Linked DNA regions of Arabidopsis thaliana. The protein of the gene in region 1 purifies or fractionates together with the protein of each later gene. This does not show direct contact. Each region holds a gene or a part of one and is shown on either strand. Other genes may lie near its edges.

Evidence for each region.
Region 2: the proteins of ftsh10 (region 1) and PHB2 purify together in Arabidopsis thaliana (affinity purification with mass spectrometry, with the first as the bait; one study listed by BioGRID). This does not show direct contact.

Annotation. Positions count from the first base shown.
Region 1 is NC_003070.9:2,302,306-2,307,501, forward strand, and holds the start of ftsh10 (FTSH protease 10), read left to right. Parts: upstream 1-2,129; 5' UTR 2,130-2,477; coding exon of another isoform or gene 2,478-2,726; 5' UTR 2,727-3,383; coding exon 3,384-3,434; intron 3,435-3,520; coding exon 3,521-3,752; intron 3,753-3,847; coding exon 3,848-3,916; intron 3,917-4,152; coding exon 4,153-4,286; intron 4,287-4,392; coding exon 4,393-4,875; intron 4,876-4,975; coding exon 4,976-5,196. Other genes in the region: AT1G07500 (uncharacterized protein), read right to left, coding at 2,478-2,726. UniProt on the Arabidopsis thaliana protein: Probable ATP-dependent zinc metallopeptidase. Involved in the assembly and/or stability of the complexes I and V of the mitochondrial oxidative phosphorylation system.
Region 2 is NC_003070.9:978,753-984,155, forward strand, and holds PHB2 (prohibitin 2), read right to left. Parts: upstream 3,251-5,403; 5' UTR 3,021-3,250; exon of another isoform or gene 2,811-3,020; intron 2,409-2,810; 5' UTR 2,406-2,408; coding exon 2,235-2,405; exon of another isoform or gene 2,143-2,234; coding exon 2,026-2,142; intron 1,604-2,025; coding exon 1,433-1,603; intron 1,352-1,432; coding exon 1,139-1,351; intron 1,048-1,138; coding exon 859-1,047; 3' UTR 555-858; downstream 1-554. Other genes in the region: FLA9 (FASCICLIN-like arabinoogalactan 9), read right to left, coding at 3,873-4,616. UniProt on the Arabidopsis thaliana protein: Prohibitin probably acts as a holdase/unfoldase for the stabilization of newly synthesized mitochondrial proteins.

The DNA.
Region 1 (5,196 bases):
AAATGAAGTTAGCTGTATAAAATAAAGTTGTTTTCATGACAGAAAAGCTAAATATTTCATGTTTTCTTGAAAACATTCTATAATTGTTTTTGTCCCCTAGTAGTTTTAAGAGATAAAGAAAGAATCTACATATATCATGTACAAAAAAGATATGAAAAATGATCAGTGTATATAATTCATTATTTTTTACTACATTAATTAATTTGAGTTTTAGTCTTAAATTTTATGTTATAATCATGGTTAAGCAGTTTTCAACAAACTTCGAAGGTTAATTTCCTTCTCAATTATTTTCTTGTATTTCAGTCCATTGAGTTGTATGAATATTTCTTTACCATATATTACTATGAAATTTTATATTTGATTCGATTACATATGTTTCAAGATAATTCAGTATAGACCGTAAGACGTGGGTAACCCGTAATCGCATATATTATATGCACACACTACGTTTTGGTGTTATACAAGGACGACGTTGTTAACATAAATCAACCGTCACATGAGTGAGAGAGCACAATAAATTTTATCAATAAAACTGACATAGTGGGACAGGAATCACAATGAAATTTGTAGAGGAATCACAATGGAATACTATTTTATCAATAAGAGTAAAGCATTTTCACAAAATGCAAGATATATATTTTGGAATCATGCCTACGGCTAAATATATAAGATCCAATTGAAAGAAGAGGGGGGACTCAAGTATTCCGCTTAAACACTGTGCCTTGAATAAAACTACTTGTAAATGACAAATTACATCTTTTGGTTAGACGAAACTGAACGTTTTTTATAAGATGGAAATTATCTTTCATTGGTATAGTGGTTGATGTTAATATAAGAGACATTGTCTCTAATTTGTCTAGAAACGTCTAAATTCAAGGAGCGGACTTGTCTCTCAAACAATTTAATGAATCAGTGGTCTACAATTCTAAGAGTTTTTAAAATTTTTGAAAACATTAATATATTTTTGTAAGAGGGCCATTTGGGAGTGTTTGGAGAGAAAGGAGCAGAGAGGGACGGGGGTAAAGTGTTTCTTACGATAAATAATTTGAAATCGGGGCCAAGAGTAGACAGCTTTGGTCTAATAATATTCCACTTGTTTTTTTCACTTATGTTTTCAAAAAATTATGGCTTTCTCGAAATTAACTCACTCCATTAATTACACTAAATAAACATTGTGTTGTACTTTCTACCATTTTTTTCAATTGGTAAACTGTCATGTTAGTTCATCCTCTAAAAGTCAGTCACAATCTAATTTCTAGTGTTGACGTCACCATGTTAATCACAGAGATGATCATGTTTTCTAGTATGTATATATGAGTACACACATTGTTACTTGTGAAGAGGAATGATAGATTTTGGTGTCGAAATTGCTTGATTTATGAGGGTCAAAGTGACCGTTGTTCCAAGTTTGGCTGGTTTATGTGGTCGGATTATAACGTTAAACGCATTTGCGTGGTTGGAAGCATTTATGTGCATGGTTATTAGGACAAGTTGTTTGTTTTGCTCTTGCGTTAGTTAAACAATCAAACATTTGAATTTTTGTACTTAACAAAGGGACAACAAAAGTTTCAAATCTAGACTCCTTTCTTTAACGATATTTGTTCATGGAAAAACATGTTTTTCAATAATCGTGAAATCTTCAATTGGCTCTAATACCATTTCAATTTTCAATAATCGTGAAATCTTCATTAAAGTGAAATGTGATACATGATTAAGCTTAAATACAAAGAAAACTTAACCAAAGATACTAACCAAACTAAACCATAACTAAAATTATATATATACACTCTAATAATGTTAAAAGATTATAGCATCCACAATTCAACAAAAATGTTTTACCCCCACCCACTATATCATTGAATTATGGACCGTCGCACTCTTCTCCGGTCGTGGTGAACCGGCTTTCAACAGATTAATGTGTTTTCGACTATAAGGTATGCAAAAATTTGCTCCATATGATCAAAGTGACCAAGCAGATTTTGAATCAGTATTGGTCCTCGGACTAGATATGTATACCACACAACTTTAAGCCAGGACTTGAAGACTTTCTTTAAGAGTTTCCATCCCTCGTTATGCCATATTAACCCACATAGCTTTCAATTTATTCTTGGAGAGAAAATAACTAGTGTAGCGGTTATGAAAACTTAAAACGCGTCCATGACTACAAATAATACAAAGACCATTTCTATATTAAATATAGAAAAACACTTATATTTTTCCCAACCTGACAGAAAACAAACAAAACAAAAAAGGAATAATTAACATCAAAAGTTCAAAACCAAACTAGTTCAACATAAAGTTCATACAAACATTGTTCTGCGTATCCTACATGACTACATCCAAAAAAAGAAGCCGAAACACTAAATATATATACACACACACCAACGGGACAATATAAGTCACAGAGGAGTCACAATCTAATACACACACACCAACGGGACAATATAAGTCAAAGAGGAGTCACAATCTAAGCGCAACTAGGTTGCCGCTTGGGAGGCTGCTACCACCGAGAAGAACAAGTCTAGATCCGGCGGCTGAAAATATCCCTTCTTCGGTGGTTCCCTCTTCTTCCCAAAGCCTAGTAGCGATCTCTTCCTTCTCACCGGAGGTGGACAAGGCGGATATGCTGGTATCCGGCAATCATCACGTGTAGGCGTCGTGCATCCCATCTGATAATCATCATCAACCGTCACCGTATCTCCGTCGTCGTAGTTTTTCTCCTCCATTTTTGTCCGCTCTCTCGCACTTTCCTAATAAGGTTCTTAATTAGATTGCTTCTTTATTACACTAGTTTTGGAAGTGACCGTAGCTTGTTCTGGAAGTTGCTAGGTACTTGCGGTCTAGAAACTTACACGTGGAGGAACGTACTGCCACGTGCTAAAGCGTAGTTATATTCAGGTGGGAATAGTTGCCACACATACCCCACTCGAGTCAAATGCTCGTTTATAATGTGGCTTAGTTAAAACGAAGCCCATTAAGCTAAACAAGGGCCCGAATTTACTGGAGCTAAGGCCATTAACCACGTTAAAGATTTGCGAAATAAATAACCGGTTGGTTTTTAGTTGAAAGACTAAACCGGTTGAAATAATCCACGGAACAACAACATATGTTGGAGTCTGGAACGCGTTGATGTCTTGGTTCCCAAGCAGCTCAAAAGTGTGACATAAATTGTTGTCCTCAACAAACACCATAAAAATCACAAATTTCGTTCTGGGCTCTTTATTTTTTTCAATCACCACATTTTCACTTGTTAAAATTTTGTTACTTTGCTCTATCTGAAACCAAAGCTGCCATCTTTCTCCTTTTGGGTTTTGATTAGATCTCCGATTTTGGGTTTCTATATATTATGCGAGCTCACTTTTGTTCGTTCTGATTATCTGACAATGATATTCTCCAAGCTTGGTTCTTCCCTCGCTCGATCCTCACGTTCTAAGGTTCGTTTCGTTGTGATGCTTTTTTTCCGACGCTTGTTAATTTTGTGTTTAATTTCCTATTTTTTTCAATTTTCCGGTGAAATTAGGGATTTGTGTACGGCGGTGGTGTGAGATCGGCGGTATTTAACCAAGGGAGGTTACGAGCGCCGCAGAATCTCGAGGCGGCCGTCAATCAGGTGGATGGTGGATTAGGGTTTTTGAGGCGGCACTTTGCTTCTTTTGCTGCTCGAAAGGGACTAGAAGCCGGTGATTTAAGCCGTGCTTTCGCTAACCCTAGATTGCGTCGGTTCTTTTCTAGTCAAACCCCAAAGAAGAAGAGTATGTAGCAAACCCTAAATTTTTATACGGATCAAATTAGGTGTTCACAGTAATTTGAGAGAGAATTGGAAGCCTAAATTGCTTTTCTTTTGCAGATTATGAGAACTACTATCCAAAAGACAGTAAGAAAGCACCCAAGAATGAGCAGAAATCTGAATCCAGAGGTGACGGTTTATGTAACATTCTCGTATTTTTGGATGTCGAATCCATTTGGTACTATGGAAAAGAAATTGAGTAGACTAGTTGATACATTTGAGAGTTTCGGGAATCATTTTATCGTCTTATTGAATTGATAATTAGGCACACAATTGTAGGATTGTTGACAACTATTCATTTTGAAAGGATTGTGAAAGTTTGTTTGAAGATTGTAGTAATTGAATATGTATTTGTTGCGATGCAGATGGTTCAAAGAAAAATGAAAACGAAAATGCTGGGGACGCGTTCTCAAATGAATATCAAAATATGTTAATTCCTCTTATGGCCATTGCTTTAATCCTTTCTACTTTCTCTCTTGGTTCCCGAGAACAGCAACAGGCAAGCATGTCCAACTATACTCTGTGTATCATGTTATCTATATAACTGCAGACGTGTGGGCCTGAGGAATGTCAACTAATTATCCGTGTTATATTTGTTGGTTCAGATTAGTTTCCAGGAGTTCAAAAACAAGCTCCTCGAGGCTGGTTTAGTGGATCACATAGATGTTTCCAATAAAGAAGTCGCAAAAGTCTATGTGAGGAGTTCACCAAAAAGCCAAACAACGGAAGAAGTTGTTCAAGGTCCTGGTAATGGAGTTCCTGCTAAAGGACGTGGTGGTCAGTATAAGTACTACTTTAATATTGGTAGTGTTGAATCATTTGAGGAGAAACTAGAAGAGGCCCAAGAAGCTATAGGCGTTAATTCTCATGACTTTGTTCCTGTCACCTACGTCAGTGAAACTATCTGGTACCAGGAACTATTGAGATTTGCACCGACTTTACTTCTCGTGGCTACGCTAATTTTTGGGGCAAGACGGATGCAAGGTGGACTGGGAGGTTTAGGCGGACCTGGTGGGAAGGCTGGCCGTGGAATTTTCAATATAGGGAAAGCTCAAATAACGAGAGCAGATAAAAACTCCAAGAATAAGGTCAGCATTTCAATCAGGGTGGAGAAGTTGAATTACCATCTTCATTTCCAATTCATGATGCTATTGAGATTTACTACTGATCTATTTTGTTTTTTGCCAGATATATTTTAAAGATGTTGCGGGATGCGAGGAGGCTAAACAAGAAATTATGGAATTTGTGCATTTCCTTCAGAACCCAAAGAAATATGAAGATTTGGGAGCTAAAATCCCAAAAGGTGCGCTTTTAGTTGGCCCACCCGGGACTGGAAAGACCCTTCTAGCAAAAGCTACTGCAGGAGAATCAGCTGTACCGTTTCTCTCAATATCTGGTTCAGATTTCAT
Region 2 (5,403 bases), 1.3 Mb from region 1:
ACTTTACGAAACAGCAAGTCGTTCCGTCTTTTGTTAATCCACAACGCTTTTATTTTTTTGGAATTATTTATTGCTCAAAACATTTTATTATCTTGGTTAACGGTCATCACTCGTTTCCAGCTAATTTTAATTATACATGACATCATAAAAAGCAGCCGTCGGTTATATACAAATATTGAAATAAGAGTTTACTTGGTCAAAATTTTAAAATTTGACGTCACCGGAAAATTCGCCGGAGTTTCGTCACCCCCATAAAACTCCTCACCGGTGAAAGAAAGAAAAAGACGTCTCTATCATGGTGGCGCCGGCAAGACGTCATTAAATACAAAGGGTCCATGTTGCTCTGCTCATACAAAATCTTATTATACGTATGCAATATTTTATTTTCTCTGCTCTCCAATACAAATCCTTATAGGTAGATAAGGTTGGCAACTAGTGGAAAAAAGAAAATTTGAATAGCAAGCTAACAAGAAATATTTATATTTAAGTTTTATGAAAGGATTGGTACGGATCTTATATTCGGATATTTATATAAGCATGTCGTATGTAACATATACTAAAAAGAACTATTGGCATAGATCAGATCATATGAATATTATTGAGTTTTAAATTCAACTTCATCAATTGTCCGGGGAAACACAGGAAAATATCAACAAAAAGTTTCATTGAAAATGATGAATAATACTGACCAAAGCCAATCTGCGTCTCTCTCAATATGTCCTCTTAAAGACTATTTTCAGAATCAGTCACGAGAAAGGGTCATTTGGTCAAACACCAACCCATCCTTTACTTCCAAGGCGGAGAGATCTTTTAAATGAAATGAATATGAAATGAAGAAACTTACTCGTTCCTTCTCTTTTACTTCTTAGGCTCCAAGTTCATTTCTTGAAGGTTAAGCAACAGATCGTTGGAGCTCAGGTAAACCTTGTTAGCAGATTGTGCAATGGTCTGTGCAATCTCTCTCGCAGCTTCAATCTTTCTCAGAGTGATGAATGCCTGATTGTTCGCAATTGCTTGTCCGATAAGCTGAGCACTTTTAGCTTCTCCCTGCACAAAGATTCAAAAAGAGCTAATGCTTCAGGCCAAAACCACTAATCTCATGTCATTAGATTTGCAATCAAGATCACCAATGCTATACCTGCGCACGGATAACCGCACTTCTCCTGTCTTGTTCGGCTTTCTCCACAATGAACTTAGCCCGTTCAGCTTCCTGAGCAGCAACTTGTTTTGCCTCGATAGCTGCGGTGAACTCTTTGCCGAATGTCAGAGTCGTGATGGAGACATCATCAAGAGCAATGTCAAAGTTAGAAGCCCGCTCTGTCAGAATCTTGCGTATCTCTCTGCTCACAGCCTAGAGGAGAGAGTAAACAGAGTCCACCATTAGAAACAAAAGAGCAGAAAAGTTGTAGAAAAAGAATGTTGAGATACGTACTTCTCTCTGGGTAATGAGCTGGCTTGCATTGTACTGAGCTACCACTGCTTTTAGGGTTTCATGGATGATGGAAGGAAGAACCCTTTCGCTGTAGTTCTCGCCAAGGGTTCGGTAAATCTGAGGCAAACGGTCACCCATGGGACGTGTGAGAACCCTTAATCCAATTTTCACCTGTGCAACACCCAAGAAAAATATCAGAAACACAGCAACTCCTTTAAGAAAGAAAATGGAGACTAAGTTCTTTCTTGCTCTACCTAAGTCTACTGAAAGCAAGTGTAACTTGTCTCTTGTTTTTCCACTTATCCATACACTCACACAGTTCATATAAGGATCAACATTGATCGTGTAATATCCTAAAAGAGTAAGTGATATTTAATCTACAGCTCCATAACCTCAAACCACACCCAAAATTTTCTAAAACATGCTCTTAATGCTGCATTGAAGGGTCTTAACATAACGTCAAAAGAAGGAATATCTAGTATGATCTATATAGCACCACATTCAGTAACATCATTTAAAATTAAATCCCTGGGCTAAATATTGTACAAACACACACAGAAAAGAAGCCAAAAGAAGAAGAAACCAAAACGCACCATCTGAAGATCATGACTACCAGTGGTGCTCTCTACAAGGTAAGGTCGTGCACGAACGTCATAGATGATTGGCCTTTCAAACCATGGCACCATAAAATGTGTGCCTTCTGGGTACACCTGAAAACACAAATCCAAGTAAAAGTAACGCTTTCTTAGAATTCAAAGCCTCAGATATAAAAGTACATCTTGTTAGTTTGAGAAATACAAACCTTTTCCTTGATACCAGTTAATCGGTTGAACATGACAGCACGGTGTCCTCCATCGACATTGTAGAGACTATTAGTAAGGGCATAGACACCGAGCCCACCAATAACGCTGACCTTAAGAAGGGCAGAGAGAGCAGGAGCTCCAGGAATGTTGGGAACTTTGTTGAAACTCATTTCCTGATAGCAAAACAGAATTCAAACCGCAATGAGATACCCAGGAGAAACAGTTCACAGCTAAGAACTTTATATGTAGCAAACTAAAACGCCGCAGGGATAAATTCGTTTGTCAGCAGATTAAAAACATCATTATACGAAGATCCAAAGGACTTAACACCGCATAAGAAATCACACACATAGAACAATCAATGCACAAGCCTCCATTTCAGAAGAAACAAAAAATCCAAGAGAGCAAACAAAGAAGTAGTGTTACTAAGAGAATCAATTGACATGGCAAAAACTGGAGAGAAAAACGAATTCGAAAAGATCGCATAGAAAAGCGTCAGAAATTGAAAGCATCGGTAGCAGATCCCAAGGCTAAAATCGATCAAGCCTTTGAACATTATCAACTAGATACAGTACCCATAGATCGTCGAATATATATGACGAGCAAGTCAACAAGCTTTCAACAAGAAAAGATCCACGAGATTTCACCAAATGATCATTCCAACTCTAAATCACACAAGGATTAGCAAATTGACCGACGATCAGGCACTGTGTGACTATCGACAACCAAACAGAGCATACAACGAAACACAGTGAAAACTGGGAGGAAAAAGCAGATAGATAAACCTGAGCTCAGCTCTTAATCGACGGCGATGGTAGGATTTATGAAAGATCACGATCGGAGCTGCCGGCGAAGCTTAGGGTTTTAGAAATGAGAAATCGGTCAGATATGCATTGGCAAACTACCTTCTAGTATGTTCGTGCCTATTTGCTTAGGCCCATTACTTTCAAATATGGTTCATTAAACACATTATCTTTTTCGAGAGGCCCATTTTAGGCATTTAGTTATGTTTTTGTTTTCCGTCCTCAAGTGTTTGACAAATTTTAAAGACATTGCTCAGGCCCATTATTTTAAAATATGTTTCACTAAGCCCATTATCACATGGGCTAAGGACGATGAATTATAATTTAATGGCAACTGGGTAGTTATTATCATGTTTATTTTAAAGCGTGTTACAGTAAAACGATTATCTGAACACTTTATTATTATGAATACTATCTATACTGCTGGTCAGAATTAAATAATACTACTAATCTATGTCTAGTAATCGCATGTGATGGCTAGTTTTTCGGATCGGCTACCGATCCTTCGATCCATTTTTCACGTAGCTAGAGTTAAAATGTCGTGAATGGAACTTGCAATTAAAACAGAAAACAAATAAGCATCTCATCAATTGTATACGTACTTTAGTAATTAAGTTAACAAAATATTTTGTTCACATCACAAATTTGTTGTTTTGGGTTCGCCAAGAAAAGAGTTATCCACTTCGACAGGCACAATTGACAACTATAGACGACGTATGTTATTAAAAATCTCACATTTTATTTCACGGAACTTAATCAACAAATTTCATATTTATACCTCACATCGCAGGATAAAATCAATAGAAAGCAAAACAAATCTTTGCTATTAAATTTTCAAAAGAGAAATTTCAAACATAAGACAATAAGTCCAAGACCAAACCCTAGTCCGACTTTCTTCTCACCGGAGCCTGACTTATCCGACGGTGACGCTGCCTTCTTAGTGGAGCCGGAGTCATCGGTAACCCCACCGGATTTAGATTTAGGGGCAGGAGCAATCGGCGAAAGCTTGTGCTCTCCGAACATCTCACCGGGCAACAAAACCATGTCGACAACATAAACTGCGAGAGGACGTTGTTGCCTCAACGAATTGCTAATACGTGTCTCCACATAACCAGTAGAGACATTGATTTGGTTTGTTTGGCCGGTGAAGTTAAGCCCGTAAACACCGTTGTCTCGGCCAGAAGCTTGAGTCCTAACCGGGTTACTCACGGAGAGGAGATCATCCATACTGTAATATTTGGGGCTAACGTGGTAGAGAATGAGTTTAACTTGATCGTCAGGGCTTAACTGGTTTAGGGTTCCGGGTTTAAGGTTTTGAAAAGCATTGTCTGTTGGTGCGAACACCGTCATACCTTCGGATGAACTATTGACTTGAATGTTCACTTGACTACCGACTTGAGTGATGTTTAGAAGATGGATGAAAGTAGTGAATTGACCACCTTTTTCGAGGATCGCAGTGAGGTTGATGGGACCAGCAGGCTCTGGAGCGGGGGCTGCCGGCTGAGCCGTTGCCTTGGTTGCGAGTAGTACGGCTGCGATGAGGAGGAGAGGAGCTAGAGTTAGACGAGTGGTAGCCATTATTGGTTTGCTTAGTTAAAGTGTGAAGAGTGATTTGGAAAGTGAGATCGGAAGGGAATGGTTTATATGGAAGTTGAATGTTTGGAGTGATGAGTTGTATCTTGTTGGAATGAGATGGCCAAGTCAATACAAAACGTTTGTAGACAAATAATGTCTAGACTAGAGATATATCATTAACATAAATGTTGTGTAGATGAATTCATATACGAATATATCAGCCGTTAAGATTCGTTTAGTATTTAAAATTAGCATATGAGAAAAATATTAGATTAGAATATGAGGTTGGTGGAACCGTAGGTAGAGCCCACATCACATGTAATGGGATCGAGAGAGTCAATAATTTACATAAAATATGTGTGGAAGATAATGTTCGACAACACAACTTACGGTGTAAGGTGGACGTAAATCGGGATAGGAATTTAGGGAATGAAATGGAGAAAATTGAAAAATCCTTGGACATAAAACCTTCTACATTTGGTATTGCTACAAGCCTACACCTAGATAGGTCCTATTAAATCAGAACTTTTTTTTTATAGATAGTATCATCACTATATCATCATTAGAAGTTAACTGAGAATAGAATACAAAACTTTACAGCATAAATGACTTACAAATAATGTAATTAACGTAATCCGCAATATACATACAATTGATGCATTCATACATATAGATGCGTAGACATGTAGCATGTAATGTATGTTAGAAGAATATATGATGTGTGTGTTTTTGTAAAAAAGAACAAAATGAGTGGACAGGCTGACTAAGTGACAGCTGGGAACACACAAGT